Linked DNA regions of Schizosaccharomyces pombe. Changing the gene in region 1 together with any one later gene gives a genetic interaction. Each region holds a gene or a part of one and is shown on either strand. Other genes may lie near its edges.

The links. Genes that interact genetically often act in the same process or in processes that back each other up.
Region 2: mutations in SPOM_SPBC713.07C (region 1) and crr1 together harm fitness more than expected from each alone (negative genetic interaction), as found in Schizosaccharomyces pombe (one large-scale study listed by BioGRID).

What each region holds. Positions count from the first base shown.
Region 1 is NC_003423.3:877,648-884,429, forward strand, and holds SPOM_SPBC713.07C (polyphosphatase), read right to left. Parts: upstream 4,442-6,782; 5' UTR 4,006-4,441; coding exon 2,272-4,005; 3' UTR 2,182-2,271; downstream 1-2,181. Other genes in the region: adl1 (DNA ligase), read left to right, coding at 1-2,181; MIM complex subunit Mim1, read left to right, coding at 4,813-5,028. UniProt on the Schizosaccharomyces pombe protein: Catalyzes the hydrolysis of inorganic polyphosphate (polyP) chains of many hundreds of phosphate residues into shorter lengths.
Region 2 is NC_003423.3:1,656,088-1,660,796, reverse strand, and holds crr1 (glycosyl hydrolase family Crr1), read left to right. Parts: upstream 1-1,720; 5' UTR 1,721-2,351; coding exon 2,352-3,611; 3' UTR 3,612-3,740; downstream 3,741-4,709. Other genes in the region: SPOM_SPBC21B10.08C (uncharacterized protein), read right to left, coding at 4,020-4,547.

The DNA.
Region 1 (6,782 bases):
ACCGATCACGATCAAAGCGCCAGCGATTATGCTTATGCATTAAAGCTTCAACAGCTTTTTGATTCTGAGAACCAAGCTACTGCTCCGGAAAAGCTTCCTAAAGATGTAATTATACCTGAAGAAGAGTATCATACTGACACATTTAATGTTGTAAAAGAAAGCAATGATAAACCTAAGGAGAATTTAGTTACAAGCGAAGAATGCAAAGCTTCTTTTTTCTCAACTGATAGCGTGAACAAAGATTCCACAATTGATTACGATGCTTTACAGAAAGATCCTTTGACTTACGTGAAAAGTTGTCGAGCCCGATTTGTTTCAAAAGATACAAAAAGCTTCAGTTACTCATCACTTGCTAACACCTTTTCCTTAATTAGTTCTACCAAATCCAGGATACGCATTGTCACATTATTAACCAATTTCCTTCTCACACTTCTGTATGCAGATCCTGATTCCTTAATTGCAACAGTTTGGTTATGTACCAATTCTATTGCCCCCAACTTTTATGGAAAAAACCTTGGTGTCGGACCTGCAATGTACTCTAAAGCTTTGAAAGAAGTTTGTGGCATTACAGCAAGTGCTTTGAAAAATTTATGGAACAAATATGGCGATCCAGGAGATGTAGCGTTCGAAGCTAAAGTGTCTGTGCGCACGTTAAGCAGACCAGAACCTTTGACTATTAAGAAGGTTTATTCTACTTTACTAAAGATTGCTGACAGTAACGGTAATGGTGCCCAGAACCGTAAATTAGAGTTAACTAAATTTTTATTGATAAGTTCTAATGCTGAGGAGGTTCGATATATAGGGAGGAGTATAATGCAAAATCTAAGAATAGGGGCTGTTCAAAACACCATGTTAGCTTCACTAAGCAAAGCTTTTTTTATTTTTGACAATCAAAACGAAATATTTAATTTTAATTCTGACTCACTTCAACAACAATTTCGTCAAGGAGAAGAGATTGTTAAACAAAGTTTCTTTCAGGTCCCTGATTATAACATTTTGGTTGCAACCCTTCTTCGAGAGGGGATAGAAAACTTAAAAGACAATATGTCTATTCGCCCTGGAATCCCAGTAAAACCTATGCTTGGTTCTATCACAAAGAATTTGCAGCATATGTTAGAAAGATTGACTGATCATAACTTCTCTTGTGAGTTCAAGTACGATGGACAAAGAGCACAAATTCATTGCGATAGACTTGGAAACATTAAGATATTTAGCCGCCATTTGGAGGAAATTACAGGAAGATTTCCGGATGTCATTGAAGTTGCTCAATTAGCATTGAAACATTCATGTGATTTTATTATAGAAGGCGAATTGGTGGCTATTGACAAAAGTAATGGTCAGATACTGGATTTTCAAAAACTTTCAACTAGAGAAAGAAAAAAAGTTACAGTGGCTGATATTACAATAGACGTGTGTGTTTTTGTTTTTGATATTATGTTTTGTGATGGGAAATCTTGCTTACAAATGCCTTTAATTGAAAGAAGAAGAATGTTTTTTGAGCATTTTAATTTAATTCCAAATCGCTTTCAGTTCGTGTCTTCTTTGGAAACAAATGAGGAGCAATCCATTCAAGAATTTTTTAGTCTTGCAATTACTAATAAATGCGAAGGATTAATGGTGAAGGTACTGAATGGAACAAACTCAAAGTTTCCTTCAACGTATGAACCTGATAAAAGAGGTGAGGGATGGATTAAAGTCAAACAGGATTATGATGATGAATTTGAGTCATTGGATCTTGTTCCCATAGGCGCTTGGTACGGTAATGGAAGAAAAGCCGGATGGTTCAGTCCAATTTTGCTTGCTGTTTACAATCCAGACACTGGCGCGTATGAAGCAGTCTGTAAATGCATGTCCGGTTTTAGTGACCAATTTTATAAGGAATTAACACAAAAGTATTCCTTAGAATCTGGCAATAGCAGTCTTAAACCCATATATAATTTTTGCGAAACAGGTAAGGTAACTCCACAAATATACTTTGCCCCTCAAGAAGTTTGGGAAATTAAGGGTGCTCAAATAACATCCTCACCTGCATACAAGGCGGCTTTGGGATTAATTCAGGATGATCGCGGTTTATCAATTCGATTCCCACGCTTCATTAGAGTTCGGTCAGACAAAGGACCAGAGGACGCATCCACGAATTCAATATTGGCTGACATGTATATGAAACAACTTAATACTTGATGTTCGTGATGAACTCAAAATGTCAAGGAACATCGTTGATTGTATATTAAATAAATATTATTAAAGGTATGGCAACAAATATATCAATCATCAGTCCTCAAAATCCGATATTGAACCAATATACGCATGCCAAAGATATGTATAGGCTATCGGACAAATAGATGGCTTCTTCTTTTTAGAAATTCTAAAAGTGTTTTGATCGCCACTCTGTAATTTGAATTGATGAGGATCTTCTGGTTTGTCACAAGTTGCTATTCTTTTTGCTAGACGCATATACTCTGGCACAGTTAAATCAGGCATATTATATGGAGAGTCCTTCGAAGTATATAGCAATTCATAAGAAATTTCGGTATCTTTCGTTGCATCCATGTAATTTGACGTGTTTAAGAAATACTGCTTAAATGAAATAGGAGTAAAAAGTGACGGAACGTATGCCGGTCCCAAAGGACCGGGCTTAATATTCTTCCTCTTGTTCTTCTTCTTTTTTTTATTATTCTTCTTTTTTTTCTTCTTTTTCTTGTCTATCTCATAATCTGATTGAGACTGCTCTTCAAGCGTTTCCCAGTTAAAAGAAGTGATTTCAGTTAGCTCTTCCCGATCATCCAGCTGATTAGCAATATCAGAAATATTGTACTCGTAAACGCGAAAAGTTGGAAACATTTCAGGTATAATCGAACCACCAACGGTAGCCAAGGAGTAATTCCCGACGGTTCCATTAAGAAACTCCTCTGTTAAATTCTCGGGAAATGTAGGAAGCTCCGCGTATTGGGCATCAATTAAAGATTTTACATATTTTGGTTGCGCACTTTTGATTCCATAAGATTCTGTATCAACAGGTAACTTATCGAATTCCAAAAACACAAAATGGTTTATGTTCATATGACCATAGAGTTGTCCAACTATAATATCTCGAAACTCATAAAGCAAATCCGTAAAAGAAGTATAACAATCTTCATACCACTGGCCCCTTGTAGGGGGAATATGTCCTAGAAGCCAAACTTTCATTCCCTTTAGCCGATACGCTTCAAGCTGTATTTTGAACCATCGCATAAAAAGAGAACCAGGTTCGTCTAGATTATCATCAGGACAACCATCGACCGCGGCATTTTTGTTTGATAGGTAAAGAGTGTTAATGGAAATTGCTGCTAGCTTGTCCGGAATCACATCACATAGGTAATAAGAGCCCTTTTCAAAAGTGTGTCGTTCCTCATAAGGAATTAAAGCATCCCAAGCACCAGCTAGTTGTCGAGTCATTGAAGATGGACCAGCTTCCATAATGTTATGAGGATATATATCATTATTCCCGATAGCGGAAACAATTGGAACGTCAGGAAACGCCTCTATCATTTTATTAACCAAGTCCTCATTTGAAGCAAGAATTTCACTTTGTGTTCTTGGAAAATGGTTATCATTGTCATGCCTAGAATTATCACCAGTCCACAGTATGAAGTCAATGCCTCCCAGAACATCATCTTGATGTTCCTTAAGCCATTCCAATGTCTTATCAATTAATGCTGGTGAAGAATCACATTCATAACCAGGACCAGGAGAGAGGTAACCCACTTTGCTTTTACCCAAGGGAGTATCGTCAGAATTATGATCATAGGAATGACAATAATGATCGACGGTGGATCCTTTTTCGTAATAAATGTCAGGATGCATATCGGTGATATGCAAAAATCTACCAACAAGTGGTTTTCCTTTGCTATTAACTAAATCATTTGTATGCGCTTTATTTCGCATACTCATAGGGTTGCCAAATGCAAAAGAAGCCCATGTCGACTGTACAAAAAGAACAGCAACCGTGATTACAGAGGGACGCATTCTAAAAAGAAGGAAATCGGTATATAAAAGAAAAAAAAACTTTACCTAAGTAGAAAAAAAGAGGACACTTCAGACTAGGACGAAATTTTCCAAAATCTGTAATACAATTTCCCAGGCAATTTCAAAAACAAAAAATGGTGTTTGAAAGATTCAAGGGCTTTTGAACTCAGTACAACTTAAATAAATCAAAATTTCCCAGTAGCCGTTAATGAAATAAGTATTGTTAATCTGTTTGACAAAAAGATCGATCTAAATTAAGATCACGAGCGGGTAGTCATGAACCGAAGTCCTGCAGAGTCAATAGAAGTTGCTTCTGAGCTTTGCAAACCCCAGAGAACACTTAATTTGGGTTTGGACTATTCGATGCTCGTAATGGAAGCAGTTAAAAGATCCGTGATACTCTTCCCTAGTGAAGACGAATGTTGTGTTCACCGCTATATATGTATGATGAAAGATGTCGCATTTTATATTTTGTCAGAGCTTGCATTACGGTATTAGTTACTAACTTAATTTCGTTAAATGAATAAGGAGGAAAGTGTTTTGCTCATTAACCATTGTCCTGACGCCTTAAAGCGTTGACAGCATCTAAGAACGGGACACTCGTAATTTTGATTGGGAATAAAGTATCCTTCCACATATACTTGCCCCATCAACTCAGTTGATTCTTAATAATAGAATTTACGCCAAAAATATTATTCGTGCAATTGCTTTGAAAGTTGATATAAAAACTTCTCTAAAGGAGTTATTTGAAAATTGTGTTGATTACCGGTTGGTTCGTTTCGTTATAGTATTTGTTGGACAAGCAGGATGGAGAAAAATACAGTTACAGTTCCAAAAACCTTGTTTTCACAAGTTATTCATATTTTCAAGTATGCGGCAATTAATTTGGGCCTTCCTTTCTTGAATGGAGTTATGTTGGGATTCGGGGAGATCTTTGCTCATGCATTTATCCACTCTCTTGGTTGGGCTCCAGGTCATACTAGGATTTATTCTATTCAAAGACATCAGTATATTCAAGCCTAAAATGAAGCATAGCTGTGCGAGGAAATTTATCTTTAATATTTGAGGGAAATGGTGTTTGCTTATTCGTGATTTTTTTATTTTTTCATTTTAAGCTGAGGCGAGTATTCATAAAATTTGAGATACTCGAATGCTTAACTCATGTTTCTCTCAGATGTATTATGGTTTCAGCTTTGCACTCTCTTTAATGATCGTTTTCTTTAGTTTTATTGTTTTTATTTTCTTTTCCCACAATATTAAGAGCTTCTTTGGCACAATGCAAAGAATATATATGCTCAAGGGATGGAAAACGAATTAAGCCCAAATGAATTGTGTTTATATTTGCAAAATAACATTTAATTTCCTTTGCATTTAATTTATTTATGATCGTTTTCCTTGAGCTTCCTTCTTCTGTTTTTTAAGTATAATTACTTTTGATTTTATTTATGCCCTTTATATTAACATTATGTGACACGTTATACATCGCTTCTTCGGACCGACAAATTGATTTGAGTAGCATAGTATAGAAAAAGGTGTCAACGAAGATTTATATGAGCTGTGAGACAAGTATCGAAGCTATCATCATTGTTTAAAATTGTTCATTATTTTTACATTACTTTGATTTGAATGACAGTACTACGCTTTTTGTTGTTTTCCTCATCACATCGCTTTTTTAAATAATTGTTATTGTATTCGAACAACGATAGTGCTCTAACTTAATGACTAAAACACGCTTATTTGTAAAGGCGTGTAAGTATTACTATTCTCAGAGCAACAAATCTCAACTGATTATAAATTGATTGCACAGCCCATTGATTCATTAGAATTTTACAGGTTATTTCTGTCGTTGCTCAAGCTTTGAAAAATATACTTTTGAATGATTCTTAAAACTTACATTATCGCATGCTTGGTACACTCGGTTGGCTTTAATGATGTTATAAGACAATTTCAAGTTTGATGATACAAAAAAGGATTCTGATCCTCGAACTGAATCTTCTTGTTTATGCATAAAAAGCAGATACCGACTACTTAAAGTCAGCAAATCTGAAAAAATAAATTATCATTAAATTTTTGTCAAATTTACGAATACTGACTTCACAATTTGCTATATAAACTTGAAGATTTATTGCATTAGCCAACAAGAATACTATATTTCTATTTTCTTCCAAGATGTAGCATGGACAAACCTAAACAGTAGTCGTTCTATATTTTATAGCTATTTAAATAATTAACTATATTACCCATCGCACAGAATTACATAGCATATTATTTAAATCTTGGATATACGCTCTACAAGCATTGCTATACACTTTCAGTGGTTTTTAAAAACATGTATTAACAGGATTCCAAGCAAACTTTAGTACGCATCCAACACAAATAGGAAGTCTACGATCACACAAATTACAGCGATATAGAATTTCGCGAAAAGAATAAACCATTAACTCAAGTAATTTCAAAAGGTTCTTTGTTAACGAATCTGTTTTAAATGTAATAATAAATTTTAATCTATAGCAAATATGTGGACCTTCTGACACTCGCGTACAAGTAGGTTATCTTGTTAGCAAGCTCTTAAAAGATCCATTCATTTATATACGCTCAGTGAATAGCAAATACGAATGCATAGCAAAATACCATGCGGGTAAAAAACCTTCCTATTCGCACTGTCTTGAGCGAGTACGGTAATGTAAAGTGACCATAATACCACTTTATATAGCAAAAAAATACTGTTACTTCAATAGTGACTATGAAAAAAAGCAGTCGCTAGATGAACTAAGTCA
Region 2 (4,709 bases), 780 kb from region 1:
TACAGATGTAATGACAAACAATATGCTTTAAGCAGCAACTTAATTGTAGTTTAAAATCATATAGAAATACTTAAAATCAATGAGGGTTTGCACTTCAGGATAATGGTAAATGAAAATCACACTTCACGAAAATAAAACGCGTAAACCGTTAATCTTCAAAACTAAATAATACCGCTCAAATTACGCTGTTTTTCCGCTAATGTTCATAAGGGAAATGTTTGAATTCCGTAAAACTGTTAAGGATGCGCAGGGTGATGGTAAAAGATTTGATAGTATATGTTTATTTTGCAGAAATATTCGCCTTGACTATATACAAAGTACTTTTATAAACTAAATAGTGTTAGAAAAGTATAAAGAGAAGCTTCGATAGAAAATTATTTCAAGGTTAAAATGAATAACTCGTTGCATCAAATTAGTTTGAGGTGAAAGGAAGGATATGATTCGTAGAACTGCTAATTCTTCCTGAGAATGGTAAATGAACGGAAAGCGATTTTTGCAGTTTGAACACGATTTGATACATGAGAGCAATACAGTAATATTGTATATACAGATGGAGATAAGATTTGGTTGCGATTTAAATGGCAATGAAATAAAGATCTAATAAGATAACCATTAGTAAATTCTTAGCGAACCATGCTTTCCCACCTGCTAGTAGAAGATGTTTGCAATTCAGTAAACAAAGGTTATGAAAGTCACCAGTATAGCTAAATTAACAAAGTTAGCTGATCAATAATATTGAAATCTCATTAAATTACGATGATAATCTGTCTCTTCAATGAAATAAAAACTTAACACTGTGTAGATATTACGACGGCATGCAAAGAAACTGGAAACAGAGACAAGATATAGAGTTTACTAAAGTATTCAACCTATTCAGCGAATTTTAACAAATTCTTTTTCAATTTAGTGAGTTTACTTTTCAACAATTTTACAATTCATCAGTGAACTCTATACTTTTAAATCATTTGCAGTGAATGAAAATAGATCATGGATAATACTCGTACTTCGTTTTGTCTCATGATAATTTAAATACAAAAAGTTGACTTACAGTAGATAAACGTTAATCTACATAATAAATCATTGATGCAGGTTCAAATACTTCTTTCCCCTTCCAATGAATGAAGAAATCCTTTTGTGCTTTAGCCGCACTCAAGTGAAAAAACTCAGGGAAAAGAAAATAAAACGAAGAAAATGGTGATCTTCTTGTTGACGATTTCCTTGGCAAATTAATAAAACTATGCAAAGCGATTTATTAGTTACATGTATACACTAAGGCCATTGCACTATTGGACACGAGGGATCAACATGCCTTGCCTTTTTGGCAATACAATCACATTGCACTCTTTATGAATGTCGTCTACACAATATAAACATATTAACGATTTGCATTGAAATGTCATGTTATGATCAAATTATAATCTTATGCATGCCGCTTCAGATAATGGCTGGTAAAAATTATTATAAAGAGTTATTTGTTTAATAAATAACAATGCAAGAATTAATTACAACACACTGAGACAAGAATTCTCTGTTTATTTTTATAAATTTTTTTATCTATAAAAGAAGTATAATCGCTTTTAAACTCTTGCTTAATGCTGCCGGTTTGATCGGTATTATAACTAATTGACCGAGAACATATGACGAATAGTGAGAATTACTGTAGCGTAACATTTACTAGCAGTAAGCTTCCTTCATAGAATTTTTCAAAAGCACAATCGTGGATTCTCCCACTTACGTGAACGGATTTTGTCTTTTAGTATAAGCCACAATTTCTGGTATCCGCATTCGCAGCCATCATTTCTCAGACATATATTTGCTTTAAGAAGACCCAGTATTTGGCTGCATTAGTATATAATCGCATTTACATGTAAAATCTTGCCTAGTCAGTAAGATTACAGAATCGTTCTTTTAGAGAGGCTGATTTCATAAGTCTGTGTATGTGCGTGTCTATATACTGAAATATATAAATACACTTATAATTAAAGCTGGTTGGCTTTTTATCCTTTCTTTGTATATCACTGCATATTTTTTGTCCATATTATAAACTCCCTATCTATCGTCTTTCGATAATAATTATTTTCATTTTAAACCGCATTTCTCATCTCTACAAAGCATTATCCCATATTTCCCTTTTTTATTCCCCTTTAACAAGATATCCTTGAGTTTGGTTATTTTTACTAGCATTTTATTTCCATTTCTGAACTTGGTGCATAGCTCACCAGATTGGCATTTTTTTATTTGATCGTGTCTCATTACTTCCCGCTCTTTTTATTCTTATCTTTTCTTTCTTTTTGATTTTTCTCGCCCTTCTTTAATTTGTTGAAATTTGATTAACTTTTATTACTTTTGCAATGGGTATTCCTGATTCCACTACAGATTCACGCCATAGTCTCTCATCTGCTGCGTTGTCCTCTGCTAGCTTTGAGAATATTTACGACCCGGCACGCAAGAACGAGTCAACTAATGATGTTATCGACAATCATACAGACACTGAAATTGATGATCACGATAATGACCATGAAAACCTTGATAGCAATAATAATAACGAAAACAATGAAGCCTTTAACGAAAAGGCTGCAGAGAAAAAGTTATTGCCTTGGTACCGACGTTACTTTATTTGGATATTAATTTTTATAGTCGCTTTAATTTGTAGTGTTCTCATTGGTGTCTTGGGTGGTGTCTTGGGACATCGTACCGCTGTACGAGATCGCCATCCTTCTTACAAAGCTAAAACATATAGCCTTGTTAAAGAATATAAAGGCACCACATTCTTCGACGGCTTTGATTTTATGAACATTACTGATCCCACCCATGGCTTCGTACAATACCTTGACCGTAACAGCAGTGCTAAGCTTGGTCTAATTAGCGCGAATAGTTCCAACGTCATTATGGCCGCCGATAGTAAGCACAATTATAGCAGTGGTCGCCCTTCTATTCGTCTTCAGAGTACCCAGTACTTTGAACATGGACTCTTTATTTTGGATCTTATACACTTGCCTTATGGTTGCGGCACATGGCCCGCATTTTGGACTCTTGGTGATGACTGGCCCAATGGTGGTGAAATTGATATCGTTGAAGGTGTCAACGTGGGTACTAGTAATCAAGTCACTTTGCATACAGGTGACGGTTGTGAAATGGAAGATATCAAGCGAGTTATGACTGGTACTGCATTACAAACTAATTGTTGGGTTGATGCTCCAAACTCGTATAATGCTGGCTGTGGTGTTGAAAATCCTAGTGGTCCTTCTTATGGTGAAGCTTTCAACAAAAATGGAGGCGGTGTATTTGTTCTTGATTGGCGTAGTGAAGGTATTCGATCGTGGTTTTTTAATCGTTCTGAAATTCCATCTGACATTACTTCTGGTTCTCCCCAACCTGCTAAATGGAGTGAACCCGTAGCTGACTTTCCAGATACCAAATGCGATATCGACAAAATGTTTTCAAAGCAAAAAATATTATTTGATTTGACATTTTGTGGTGATTGGGCAGGTTCTTCAGTTTATTCATCAGCAGGATGCCCCGGTTCGTGCAACGACTTTGTTGGTAATAATCCTCATAATTTTACTGAAGCATACTGGAATATCAAAAGCTTGGCCGTTTATCAATACTAAACCCCCTTCTTTTTTCTTTTTGATGAATTTTCTTGATTATATAGGCATAACATTAACATTGCATGCGTGATATCATCTCGATATATTGTGTGTAAATAAAATACATTTTGATTAGAACTTGAAGTAGAGAAACATTTTTTCGCATGTGTTTAGCAAAATGCGTAAAATAGTAATAAGCCTAAGTTTTGTCTGAAATTATGCGAGCTTGAATTTTTTAATAACTTGTGTTCTAATGCCATCGTTTACAAAGTAAATTTCGGTCTTAAAATTTCAATAAATTCACTACGCTAATTGATTAATAATATAGGGTTTAGGAATATTCATATAAGGTACTCTTCAGAAATATCAAAAGGTTTGGGATTCGTATATGTTGTAAAAACGTTTGTTCATTTCTGTTGCAAAATACATCTAAGGGCGGTTTAAGAAACCAACGCCAGAATAAATCACTTGCTGAGAAACAGAAGTAGCACCAGAAATTTCAGCAGGACCAGGCTCAATACCACTCTTGGAGTATCTGGTAACGACAGCATATAGGCTAGGATCATCCAAGGAATGAATAATCAAACTTGTGTCAGCTTTAGGATTAACGGTGAGCTGTTGCTTAAGAGTAGCAGAATCGCCAGTATATTCGGTATACAAAACATAGTCCTTGGCATCTGGGCCTAAGTTGTCCTTATCTAAATGACCATCAACAACCTTAAAATTCAATAGTTGCAAAGGCTCTGCCAAAGGAGCATGAGTAGAGGTCAAATAATTGGCAAAAGCAAGGAAGGGATTTGAGGTTTTGTGAGAATTCTCTAATACCTCCTTTGAATCATACAGCTCAAGACCAAAGATATAATCAGGGTTTTTAGCATCACGAGCGAAATAATAGGTTTTAGTGAAGGGTTCTGATTTCAATACATGCTCATTAACTTTACTCAAAAGGTCAAGGATCTGTACATATAGTTAGTAAAGGATTCAAGAAAAGGATAAATTCCTGAACAAAAGCAAACAACAATTACAGTAATGAGAGTAGATTTCTATTACAGCACAGAAGATTTAAACTGACATGTCGTGGCATCTCATTTATTTCCAACTTTACAATGCAGTTGAGAT